Linked DNA regions of Nothobranchius furzeri. The protein of the gene in region 1 purifies or fractionates together with the protein of each later gene. This does not show direct contact. Links are inferred from orthologs where the notes say so. Each region holds a gene or a part of one and is shown on either strand. Other genes may lie near its edges. The genes, in order: ncoa6, wdr5 and kmt2cb.

Region 1 (4,163 bases):
TTAAAAAAATACAAAATATCAAGTAATATTTATGTTAAACATTGTTAGAAACAATGCAACACAAAAATTCACATGAACCAAATAAAGATGAAGAAATTTTAAAATAAAATACAAGCTTACTGTGATGAAAGTTTGGAAACCTGCGTGTTAATAATATGTTAGAAGCTAATGGCATATAAGGGAATTAGCGTTAGCGTTAACAAGCGTTGATATGACTTCACTGTCGCCCAGAATATTTTACAGAGGATGTTTTTCTGCTCAGCATCAGACTCCTTAAACCTAAACCAGGCCAGTATAAATTATGTCTTCGTCTTCTCATCAACTTGCTCTGCGCTGAAGCTGCTGCTGCTTTCGACAGCATTCATGTGTGATCACGTTTGGACAGTAAAGCCAAAATCTCTACTAGTAGACTAGAGTACTGTTAATTTTTTTGTTAAACTTTTGGAAAAACTTACCTGGGCCAGGCTGACCTGGAAAGCCACCATCCATTCTCATCTGACCAGGTGCACCAATTGGTCCATTCACTCTGACTTCTTGTCCTCTGTTTGGTCCCACAGCCACATTAATTGCTCCCTCTCCTGAACACCAAGATTAAATCATTGCATAAATGAATTTTTATGAAGACAAAAGGAGGAGATCTGCATGAATTCTTTTTGGACTGAGCTATTACCTTCTATTTGCACAGAGAGAATACCCAGGTCTCTGAGCTGCTGCTGGTTGTTTTGGGCCAACAACCGGAGTCGCTCAGCAGCATCCCGGGGAATGTTGAATGTGACACGGACACTGTTCCACGGCTCAACATGTTTAGGCTGCAGCCGTTCTGGGCCTAAAATAAAGTGTATTTAGTTAGTGTTGGTTGGAAAATGCTTAACAGGTCAGTGCAAGATATATATTTTTGAATCAAATACACGTAAATGAGCTCAAATAAAACAAAGTAACAAAACAAATTGAATAAAAATAAACACAAACCCAAATTAAGAACATCAGGTATCCCATTGAGGATAGTTTCTAGTTTTTGAGTGAAGTTCTCATCATCCATGTTTCCTTGAAAGGCAACAAAGACTGTGAAGTCCTCCTCTCCATTTTCTCTAGTGTCTTCTTGCTCCATGGGTCCAACTTCTTCTGTTACGTTGCATTTCTCAGAGCTATCTGCGTCTTCTCCAGAATCTTCTCCAACACCAGAGTCTCTGTCCGATTCACCATCAGGCTCCATGTACGCAGTCTTCTGGGATGAGGAATGTTCAGCAGCTATCCTCCCTTCCTTGTTAGGAGTGGTGTCTAAACCGTTTTATGCTGTAATTACAGATTATTCAAACTTTAGATTACAGCATTTTCTTATCAAATACTATTATTCCATACTTTGCCTATCTCAAATGTATGTACTGCCCAGAAAAGTCTATGGTATTGATTAATTTAATAATTATTTGATAAATTATGCTTTTTCTATAAACTGTTTCAGCTTAAAGTAAAAAGCTGCTTACGCTATGGGTTCCCAATTTTCTACAATTTCGTAGAATGCATTTAAAATGGAAAGTTTTGGGAACATAACAGCTCATCTTAGAATATTTTTAATTTCCCATTAATATATTGAGACCTTCGACAGTTCTTAAAGAGCAAGTCACCCCCAAATCTACTTTTTTTTTTGCTGATAAACTATATAAATGTGTGTCTAAATGTGCTGCAGACACGTGTAGTCAATAATTTGGTACTTCAGTGCATCTTAGTTAAAATTGAAATATTCTGCCTAAAACTGTCAATGTTGCGCCGTTGTCAGGTAAAAACTCTGCACTGCATTTGAATTTAAATCTGCCACCGCTATTGGCTAAGAGGTATGCTATGATGTAAACTGGTACATTATGATGTCACAGTGCCGTTGTGAGCCTGTGTGTGTGTGTGTGTGTATTTGTTAGTGGCTCCGCCCTCTCGGTCTGCTAGGCAACAGCATTTGTTGCATTTTTCAAACATGAAGAGGGAGTGAAATAAGTTTCTTGTAGGGGGTGACTTGCTCTTTAATTGTTTTAGAAACCCTGAACACAGCCAAGAAACAACAGTTATAGTAAGTTGCTAGAGGCTGAAGAGTATTCTATATAACATTCGATTCGAGTAAAACAAAGACAAGCAAAAAAAGTCATAATTTCTATTTGCAAACCAGAAAAAGAAGCAAATAAATGAGTTTGTAACTCAATGAAGCAGACACCTGGAGGTGACATCACTGACCGGTGATTAGCTTATTAAGCAGAGGTGCTCTGATTGGTAGTCACATTACTTTCAGAGTTGTGAGATTTCTTGATATGGGAGTTAAACTTGTTAGTAATAATATAATATATTTTTATAATGATGATCATCCTGGTTTCAGTCACCGGCGCTGCAGGAGTGTGGGCCTTAACGCAGTAAGCTAACATTCAAACAAAATCCACAAGTAAACTCTGTTTCTTACCAAATTGTGCATTTTCATCGTGGTGCAATTAACACTTACATTTCAAATGTATACGTTTTAGCAGCACACAGAAAGAGTGAAATTGAAAGTGGTTCCTATTGGTTTTCCGAAAAATCCTGTTAGCATCAGTTAGCTATGTAGCTAGATGTCAGTCTCCAGACGCGAATGAATCCAAGCAGCGAACCGTAGCTGGTTTAATTTGCCTTTCAACAGTTTTCGTTAATAAAAACAAGGAGAAAGGAATATACAAAGACCTTACCAAACATATCCATATACGAATACGTTCAACTAGTCGACATCTGTTTGCTAGACAGGCTAACAAAATAGGATGAATGTCATAAGCAAGCTAACTAACAAAGGTTGTTTCCGGTTTTCTTTTTCAAAATAAAAGCTCAAAAGGTAAACGCACTCCTTAGGTTAACAAGTTCATGACTATTTCCTAAATAGTCCTGAATAAACTGAGCTGTTTTATCTATTTTTCAAATTGTATTAAATGCAAGTATGATGACAAATTGCGGAACACTGCTTATGTGGGTATGTGCAAACATTTTTATTTCACAAATTTGAACAAAACCGATTTTTCCTTCAATTATAAACACAAAATAATCAAACATCAGGTGTGCAAATGTGTGCATTAACAGTACACAAGACAAGACTCTAAGATTAGAAACCTATTTGATCAATTTAGTGTGAGAGAAAAACGTGTTCGATTTTACTTCTATTATTCCGCTTAATTGCACCAAAAACACATGACACCCATCCCGAAGAGTTCCAGGCTGAATATAGATTTTAGGAATAAAAACATCTACAGTCAAACAGTGATGTAAAAATTGATTTTACATTAAACTGTTTTAATTCCCATTCAGAGAACAAGGGTGACCCTCTCTCAAATAATTCTAATGATTTTCAAGAAAAGCAGCAAATAAACCACTAAAACTATATTAAGAATGCAAAAAGAACAGTAACAATATAAGAAATACTTTAAAATCAATAAAACCATCTCAGTAAAAGTAGTAAACCAAGATGTGGAAATCACATTCCTGTTAAACATCTCTGTCTGGGTATGTTATCACCTAACATGTTCTCAAAAAGAAGGTAAAACTCCAGCAGCTGTGCAAGACAACATAATCACAGTTACATGCCACACTACAAGCAAGGGAAGGACAGTTAGACAAAGACAAAGCAAGTCTCTTCACTTGTCATCTAGCAACATCCTTGGTAATATTTGGAATAATTGACAAAAAACATTAAAAAATAAGTTGACTGTTAATGCATGTACTGCACACTATGCATTTTTTTGTACATTTTACATTATTGGTTTATGATTTCATTTATTGCTCAATAATTTACCTCTGAAATTCTGACTAAACAGTGATAGAGAAAATACTCTCAAACATTCCTCTCATAAGTTCAGCAATTACATTATTTCATTTGCAGCTAACTTTAGTGCCACTGCTGGGTGGGCTTTTACTTTGAAAACCTTGTACCGTGTGACTCGAGCAAACAGATGTGAGGTGAACTCACAGAAAGCTAAGTGGATTTTTATTTAAATGGCAGTTTGCTGTGAGATTTTGATGACTGTAGTAGTTTGATCATTTTTATTCCACCTTTTCTTCTTTCACTAGTATCCTACGAGTTTGATCCCTGCTGTAATGTGAGTGAATACTGGAAAAAGTGATGGATGCACTAAGGTGTGTTGGAAATGGTGAGGGCAGAAGCATCAGCA
Region 2 (4,215 bases), on another chromosome or scaffold:
GGAGTTGCTAATGCTAACGGTTAGCTTCTACCAGCCGAGATGTTCTATGCTGTTTTCTGGACGCTAAACCAACAATAGCCGTCCTCGTCATGAGCCAAGATGGGTGAGCCCATGAATGTTTAGTGACAGTGTAACGTGGATCTGTCAGGATTTTCTAACCCTAGACTTTCACCATCTATTTTCTAGCTAATCCAGAAGATAGGAGACTTTTGTCATGTTCAGCCTGCATGAAAAACCTCAGAGTAACTAAAATAATCATTAAAAAAGGTTTTTCAATGAACCACACCTTAAAACATTCTTACCGAGTTAACGTCCCAGATCTTCAGAGTTTTGTCATCCGACGCAGAAACAAGAAGGTTGGAGTCAGATGACCAGGCCACATCAGATATTCCCTGGAAAATAAAGAAATTCTAAGATCTCAAGGCTTCAAGGACATAAAATGATACAAGAGTAAACAATGGAGTCATTTCTCATGTTTATCTTCTAAAAATGTAAATACAATCTTGTTCTTGCTTTGAACGACCAAACAGATCAGACTCAAAGTTTTTATTATTCACTGCATGTGAATACCCTCTGCTGCTGCATGGCACTCAAATGGTGTGTTTGGAATAACAGAAGAAAAAAAGAACAGATATAAATATATAAACAGAAGTACATGTTTACTAGATATGTAGCAGCAGTAAATGTATTCACTTTATATTAGACTTATTGCACTGGTGACTGAGGTTTTTGCTCTAATGCGCATGAGAGGGTTTTAGTACATTTAGTTTACTGCTGTGGGGAAGGGGATTGTTTGCACCAACTGGACGGCAAGAGTCCAAAACAGTAATGACCAGGGTGGGAGGAGTCTTTGATGTTTTAGTAAAAGCGGTGAAACTCTACCTAATACAGTCCTGCAGGCAGAAACACAACAGTGCCACAGGTAAGGGTCCCTTCTACTCACAAGTTTGTGTCCAGAAATGGTTTTCTCAAACTTGCCATCATAAGCGCCCCAGATTTTGATGAGTTTATCAGCAGCTGTAACACAAACAATGAAAAAGACATCATGAAAAAGAGAAAAAAAATGACTGAAAAGTTGCAAAATGGTAAAAAATATATAATTTCCCCATTTCAATCATTTCAGCTGATCAGATATTCAAATGAAACGAGTGTACCCAAAGATAAATACTAAAACCAATAAAAATTTCACAATTGCATAAGAATATTTAGTCACTAAAGCACTGCTATTATTGTTATTTACATTTAACTTAGAGCACAAAATACACTTCATCTATGCAGTACAAGTGTTTTATCAAACTTTAAAAAAAGCTCTGGATCAAACATAGTTTCACAAAACCCAATACATTTTATTATGGAATGAAAGAAGATTTATGTTGAGGTAGCTGAGATTTAAACAAGATATGATTCAAAATGAGATGCTTACACGAGCTGGCGAGCCATTCTCCACTTGGACTGAATTTAACCGAGGACACAGCCTTAGTGTGTCCCGCTAGTGTGAATTTCAAACTGTAGTTTGGTTTTGCAGGTGCAGTCTGCAAAAGAAAACCAGTTCTAATTTAGCAAATGAATAAACATGATGAAATACTTTCAATAAAGAAAGAAAAAATCCGAAATAATGCTGGAATATTGACAGTCCTTAACAAAAACTTAGAATTAAACTATCATAAGAGGACAGGGTGGGAGATTACAGGCAATGCCAAAACTTGGGTTTGTCAGACCTTGCTTTGGCTAGCAGAGGCTGATGGGACAACTGGAGGCTTGGTGTCAGTCTCTGGTTTCTTGTCCTCTGTTGCCATGGTGAGGAAATCAGCATCTATTGCACCTGAGACAAAAGAAGAAACCATAAAAAAAGTTAATAAATCAGGCAAGTTAAACCTAAAGATTAAACAACTGGGATAAGTTATTGGGTGGAAATTTTACAATTTCTAACACCCGGAATTTTAAAGTTTGGAGAAATAAGATAAACCCTCCAGCTCGATGACTGCTAATAACCACCATTAAGGTAAACGTGATTAAAAACTATTGTTTTATCTGTTAGCATTAGCTTCCTTTACTGTGATCTAAAATAAACAGTGGGGTTTACTTTAAATAAGATAAATTAAGTATATATCATGTAAATTTTACTTTAATTAGGCTTATTAATAGGCTGTGATGCTCAAAAGTATTTAAATGCCCGTTTAGGGTCCGTTTAGCTATAAAATTAGCTAATGCAGCTAGCTGAAGTTAGCTAACGTTAAATTGCTCTTACTATGAAAACCGATTGAGGCCAACCCCCTTGTCCGGTTACCGTTTACCATCTTGTGTTGCCTTCAAATGCATTGACACCAGCTCGTTTTTGCTTCGAATTATTATTTATGCGAAAAATAAAAGCAAACAAAGGGAGAACGAGTACGTTCGCTGTAAAGTTCAACACCTGAATATACTTGGGTTACCTTCGAACAAAACAACGTGAAGATCTATAGATTAGAGGCTGTCTCGCGGAATAAAATGTATTTTGGCATGAACGCCACAGTTATATGAAGAAGCTAATCGCAGTTTTGACATGCAGTTGATGCTGTTGACAAGTTATGCAGCCACGAAGGGGGCCTCCATTGAAACAATGAAGATTCGGTTTTACACCGATACTTACGTTGATCAATTTAGATCTACAGTCAGACTGGTACTCCTTGCAAATCCTGGAAATCTAAAACAGTCCGTATAATAACTAAAGAGAGATAGAACAAAGAACAAATCAAGCTATTTGCTTGAGGATGTTTGCCTGGTAAAGGAACGAGCTGCGAGGTGAAGCGGGGAATGTGCTTACAGTTTGCGCAGGCGCATGACGTTCAAAAGTGACGGGAACTAATGAGGGACAATTATGAAAAAATCGTTTCGACTGCCGTTTGAAAAGAGCCCAATAGTTTTAATTAATCTTATTTATTACAAGTTTGTATTTTTTAAATTTAAAATGACAAAAATTCTCAACAGAGAATTTGTAGAAGTACATTATGTGAAATACTTCATCTAAATTTCAATGAAAGGCAGTAGCCATTTAAAAACCAGGCTGTGGCTGTCAGAGTCAATCAATATGCAAAAAGGAAAAGTCTACATGAAACAGAAACAAACACACAGCAAACAAAAATCTAAATAAAACAAACAAATTACATATCTTTAATACGTCGTAACCTTATTTTATGCTTTATGTAGTTATGAACTACTGACTGTGATATTTTCATAGTAAATCACTTGCATTTATTTATATAACCCTAACCATTTACTTTTTAGCTCAATACTTTCCACAATTATAAATATGATTTTGTGAAATGCAGATTTCACACTTTTACCATAAATCAGCTGTGAACGCGCTTTGGATTCTCCGGCTCAACAGATGGCGCTATGAGCACCAGACCTGTCCCTTCAGCCGTGGCTGCAATAGGTCGGGGAAGAAGTTTCTAGTTCTTTTTGAACACACTGCACTCTGGTGTTCACTAGTTTGTTTTGGCTTCGGTGAGCTTTCTTCCAAGCCGTGCAGCGTCAAGCTCCCATGTCAACACGCCCTCTTAAATGAGTTGGTAAACACTTCTGTTGTTATTTTCTTATTTTTACTCATTACTTAGCGGTTAGCCTCCTCCATAACAACAATAGGTGTTTAAAGAAGCGGACTTCTTCGCTTCGTTATATGATAATTTAATTCAAGCTTATTTATTGGCGCTACATTTTGCCCCAAATTAAAGCAAACGTTACTTAACCAAAACCTGTAGTTGGTATTTCGAAACTTATATCAACAGTCGGTGTCACAAAGTGTGTTGTCATCCGCTGCAGTGTCCCTTACCAAACCAGCTAGCTAACTTTATGCTAACGAACATCGTGCATACTTGTGTTTTTATTTCACGATAAGTATTTGAAACGTTTTAAAGCCAATCATGTCGCTTTGTCCAAACCTACATTTTAATACATTTTGAGTAAAACCATCTCGCTTATTTAGTCATTTAGTCTCATTCGTACATTACGCCACGTTTTTCACTGTAAACGAAAAGTATTTGACGATATCTTCTGCGTCACCGCTTATGAAAAGCTTTTACAAGTTATTTCGGGAATCTGAAATCATGTTGACAAATGTCTTCTAACTTTAAACTGAGCTTTGTCTCGTGTTCTGTTCTTGTGGCTAACGTGCACGTTGTCACGTCCGCCAGATTTTTTTTCTATAAATATTTTGAACGTGCACGTTGGTTACGA
Region 3 (4,075 bases), on another chromosome or scaffold:
GGCCAATGTCAGGCTAAATCTAAGCTTGCATGAAAAGAAATGAAAGTTGACATTGTATATTACCTTCCCAGCCCTATGGACAGCGAATTGTCCTCTTCATGTCCCAAAATAATGGGGGGATGAAACGTTTTATCAACCAGCCAGCTAGCAGCTAGCTTCTCTCCAATGAAACAAGACCGCAGTTCTCAAAAATGCACAGCGCATATCATTATATCCCAGCGTTGCAATGATATTCCCAACTTTGCCCATTTGATGGAAAAGCCGTTGATGTAAATCCAAAAGAAAACCGCTTCACTGGCATTTGCGGAGATCACTTTCCTTTTTCTCCAATGACAGCTGTCGAGTTCGGGTAACACAGCTAGTTGATGTTAGCCACCCAAAAATTTGATCATTAACATGAAAACAAACAAGAGCCAAAACACATGTGGCTGTCAAAAAAGAAGAGCAACCAATCGGTGGATAAAACTTCAAATTCTTGAGGAACGTGTAACGACGAGGAGAAGGAAACGTTCGGTTCCGACCGCTGGCTTGGCAACTGGTTCTATTTTCTTCAGCTGCGACAAGCAGAAGCGGCCAGTTAGGAGACTCTCGCAACCAGCCTGCCACGCAGTAACAACCGGCTCCAAAAACGTGTAGAAACAAACATTAGCTTGCCCAAAATAACAGTGTGTCCGCCGAACGATGTGAGCTGAAAAATATATGAGAAAAATCATAAAATTAAGTTGAGGATGACGCTTCGGCGTACTCTATAACGGTGGCCATATCTAATGATAAGTGGCACCGAAGCACAGACCCTCCTCCCCCTAGGCTCTTAAAAAAACTAGATCCACCTCGTCCGAGCAGAACTACAGCAGACACGTATTTTCACATCGTCGTGGTTTATTTAAAATTAGTATTTCAAGAGTTTGGCAAATATATAAGCGCACGGATAAAACACAGGCATCAATAAATTGCACCCAAGTCGTTTTACGATTTCTTCAAAATACTCTCTGACCCTGCGGATTGATATGAGCATTTAGTAAATAAAATAATGGCCAGGGTAAGTGCGAAAAGGCGGATTCTGGAGTTTTTGGAGAGGAACGGTCAACAATGAACGCTCCAGTTTATGCAAATGTTTTCCCAAAAGAAGCAAAGAAACTCACTGTCAGCTTTCCAGGTTTCTTTAAAAAATATGAGTACTGATAGTTGGCATTAGTGGTGGTGTTTTAGACCTCGCGCAATGTTACCTCATGCTGGCAGGGACACCACAGCGTCCTCATTTTATCTCCCCCCCCTCCCCCTCCCACTCCCCCCCTACCCCCCACAGCAACAAACGTGAACTCATGGGCGCGCGCACGTACACTCACAAACAACACACAATACCTTTGCAAACCAGGCATTGCATTTTAAGGAACCTGCATACTGCCAGACACGCTGCACATGCAGGGGTTAACTTTCCTAAAGGTCCCCAGGGGTTGTCTTTCAGCCTGCACATGCATGAGAAATAAACAAAAATGTTGTGTATTATCACAAGTTCTGCGTTTCAATTACTCAGTCAATCACATTTTATTTATTTCCTTCGTGAGACGCCCACATTATTAGTGTTAATGATAATAATGTAGGTAAACGTCAACGATTCTTTGCATGAACCATGGCACTTCTTTCCTAAGCTATGCGCGCCACCTGCTGGCCAATGCAAAATATTGACTTTTTACTTGATTACGAAATTTTAAACGAATAAATAAACACCACTACTACTACTACTACTACTCAGTGGCGGTTCTACATGGAATTACTCCCCGGGCGAGGCCCCCTTTGAGCGCCCCCCCCCAACCGCCCCCACCACCACCACACCGCCCCACCTGCACGAACACACGTTTTCTACAAACAGGCAGGTTTTATTAGAACGACTATTGAACATTCATTTTTCTAAGTTGCACATATTTACATTAATTACTATGAAGTTGTCAGAATGTAAAGCACTATACATTATACACTGTATCAAAATATATAGAATCAAATATACAAAAACAACTAAACTAACTAAATATTAAGAATATATGCACATAATATATAATAAATATTCTAAATAGCAAAAATATTTAACACATAACAAACTAAAGATAATCACTATACAGCACTGCACTTAGAACAGAAAACACAAACTAAAATTAAAACCTAACCTTGATGCAAAGTCATCAATAATGTCATCACATGAAATCTGCTCCCCTACTGAGTGATTGATACTAATCAGAGCCAGGTGAATGAGCCGCCCCTGAAACATAGGTGACCTCAGGTATGACTTGATCAAGTTTTGAAAAGCTCCTCTCAGCTTGAGCCACAGTGACTGGCAGAGCAGTCCAAAAGTTGGGGTAGATCTCCAATAGATCTTTATCATGATCCATAATATTTTACAATTGCCTCTGAAATTGTAATTTAAACTGACATAAAAAAACTGTAGACTACCAAAAATGCCAACTTTTACAGAACAAATCATGTAAAAAATAATCAGTAGAGCCATCTGCAATAAATAAACAGGATAGTTAGTGGTGACTGGGGAGTTCTCTTCTGCTTGTAGAGTTGTTTTATTTATTATTATGTGAACATGATCAACATGTGTTTATTGTTGTTCAGGCGGGCCACAGGCTGCAGTGAGCATTTAACAAATCCTAGTTTGAATCAGTAAAAACGATTCAAGGAATTTTTTCGAACCATTTGAATATTCGTTTAAATATTTCAGCCCTATTAGCTCTGTTAGCAATTAGTTGACCAAATTTAACCGTTAAAATCCCAGTTAACTGGTTCAAAAAATTGAAAACATGCATCATGAGAGCGAACATACCTTTATCTTTCTCCTCTTTTTTCTTTTTTTTTTTCCTGAATCGGGCACCTGGTGGTTTTAGCCTTTTTATGTTCATCTCTTCTGTTTGGCTCTTGACTCAATAAGTTTCCTTTAGTCAGGACTAAACTATTTGACCTTGATGGGGGGGTGAACACAAAATCGTTTTGTTTTTCCTTTTTTATTTGGCCATTTCACACAATTCAGAAACACCTGAAAGAATGATAGGCCTGTGTTTATGATATTATGAATGAAATATGGAAGAACATCAAGATGTGATCGACTTTAAACATGTTGATACAGTTGATTCAGCCCCTAGCTCATTTCATTTGGACCCACCCAGAGGTGAATTCTCCCGCCGCACCCCTCCCCTTCCTGTTCTCCATACACACACACACGGTGCACGGAGCGCCTGCAGCTGCAGGGGGCGCCAACTTGCTGTTTCCAATCCAGACACTGTCATATGACAGATAATAGAAAACCTCGGTGCGGCGCAGGTTTCTTTTTTCTTTTTTTTTTACTCAGCGCTTGTGCGCCCCTTTTGTGTCATGAAAAAATGCCGCCCCGGGCAACTGCCCTGTCTGCCCGTGCCTAAAACCGCTACTGCTACTACTACTACTACTACTACTACTACTACTACTACTACTTCTACTACTACTACTAATAATAATAATAATAATAATAATAATAATAATAATAATAATATAACACCACCACTACTACTACTAATAATAACAATGAACAAGATAAAAAATATGTCTAATGGAAATTTTATCATAATATGGATAAGTTCAAAAATGTCTTAAGTGCAACTGTGGGTGACCCATTGCAGAGTAAATATGCTATAAAAATATATTTTTTTAAATCAAAGCTCATGTTTCTTTTATGTTGAATAATGAAAGCTTTTATTTTTCATGCATTTTAAAAATAATCACCTGCAAAAATGAACCAGTGGCACGTCCAGGTCTTGTCCTTTTGTGGATGATGTAGTTATCTTTAATGGAACTCAGCAGGGTGGCCAATAATATTCCAAGGGTGACATGTGCTATCCAGGCCACTCTCTGGACACGCCCCTGGCACCAACACACTGGGTAAATGACATTAAAGCGAAAACGCTTTAGACGCAGATTCATTATATTTTTCTAGTTTGAAACCAAATCTTTGACATATAACTCTAGGAGATTTCAGTATGAAAGAACATTTGTCATCTGCACTGAGCACAATACCACATTAAAAATTAAAACTCCAATCCAACCT

The links.
Region 2: the proteins of ncoa6 (region 1) and wdr5 purify together in Homo sapiens (co-immunoprecipitation; 10 studies listed by BioGRID and IntAct, counting the BioPlex papers as one, with this or other methods). This does not show direct contact. The link is inferred for Nothobranchius furzeri from reciprocal best matches to the Homo sapiens genes NCOA6 and WDR5.
Region 3: the proteins of ncoa6 (region 1) and kmt2cb purify together in Homo sapiens (co-immunoprecipitation; 7 studies listed by BioGRID and IntAct, with this or other methods). This does not show direct contact. The link is inferred for Nothobranchius furzeri from reciprocal best matches to the Homo sapiens genes NCOA6 and KMT2C.

Annotation. Positions count from the first base shown.
Region 1 is NC_091755.1:60,747,726-60,751,888, reverse strand, and holds the start of ncoa6 (nuclear receptor coactivator 6), read right to left. Parts: upstream 2,826-4,163; 5' UTR 2,697-2,825; intron 1,294-2,696; 5' UTR 1,214-1,293; coding exon 970-1,213; intron 827-969; coding exon 671-826; intron 579-670; coding exon 456-578; intron 1-455. Other genes in the region: glutathione hydrolase 7, read right to left, coding at 4,124-4,163. UniProt on the Homo sapiens protein: Nuclear receptor coactivator that directly binds nuclear receptors and stimulates the transcriptional activities in a hormone-dependent fashion. Coactivates expression in an agonist- and AF2-dependent manner.
Region 2 is NC_091746.1:41,695,347-41,699,561, reverse strand, and holds the start of wdr5 (WD repeat-containing protein 5), read right to left. Parts: upstream 2,817-4,215; 5' UTR 2,630-2,816; intron 1,823-2,629; 5' UTR 1,797-1,822; coding exon 1,719-1,796; intron 1,533-1,718; coding exon 1,424-1,532; intron 1,018-1,423; coding exon 944-1,017; intron 393-943; coding exon 303-392; intron 1-302.
Region 3 is NC_091751.1:52,963,852-52,967,926, forward strand, and holds the start of kmt2cb (histone-lysine N-methyltransferase 2C), read right to left. Parts: upstream 2,843-4,075; 5' UTR 2,822-2,842; intron 291-2,821; exon of another isoform or gene 64-290; intron 1-63. UniProt on the Homo sapiens protein: Histone methyltransferase that catalyzes methyl group transfer from S-adenosyl-L-methionine to the epsilon-amino group of 'Lys-4' of histone H3 (H3K4).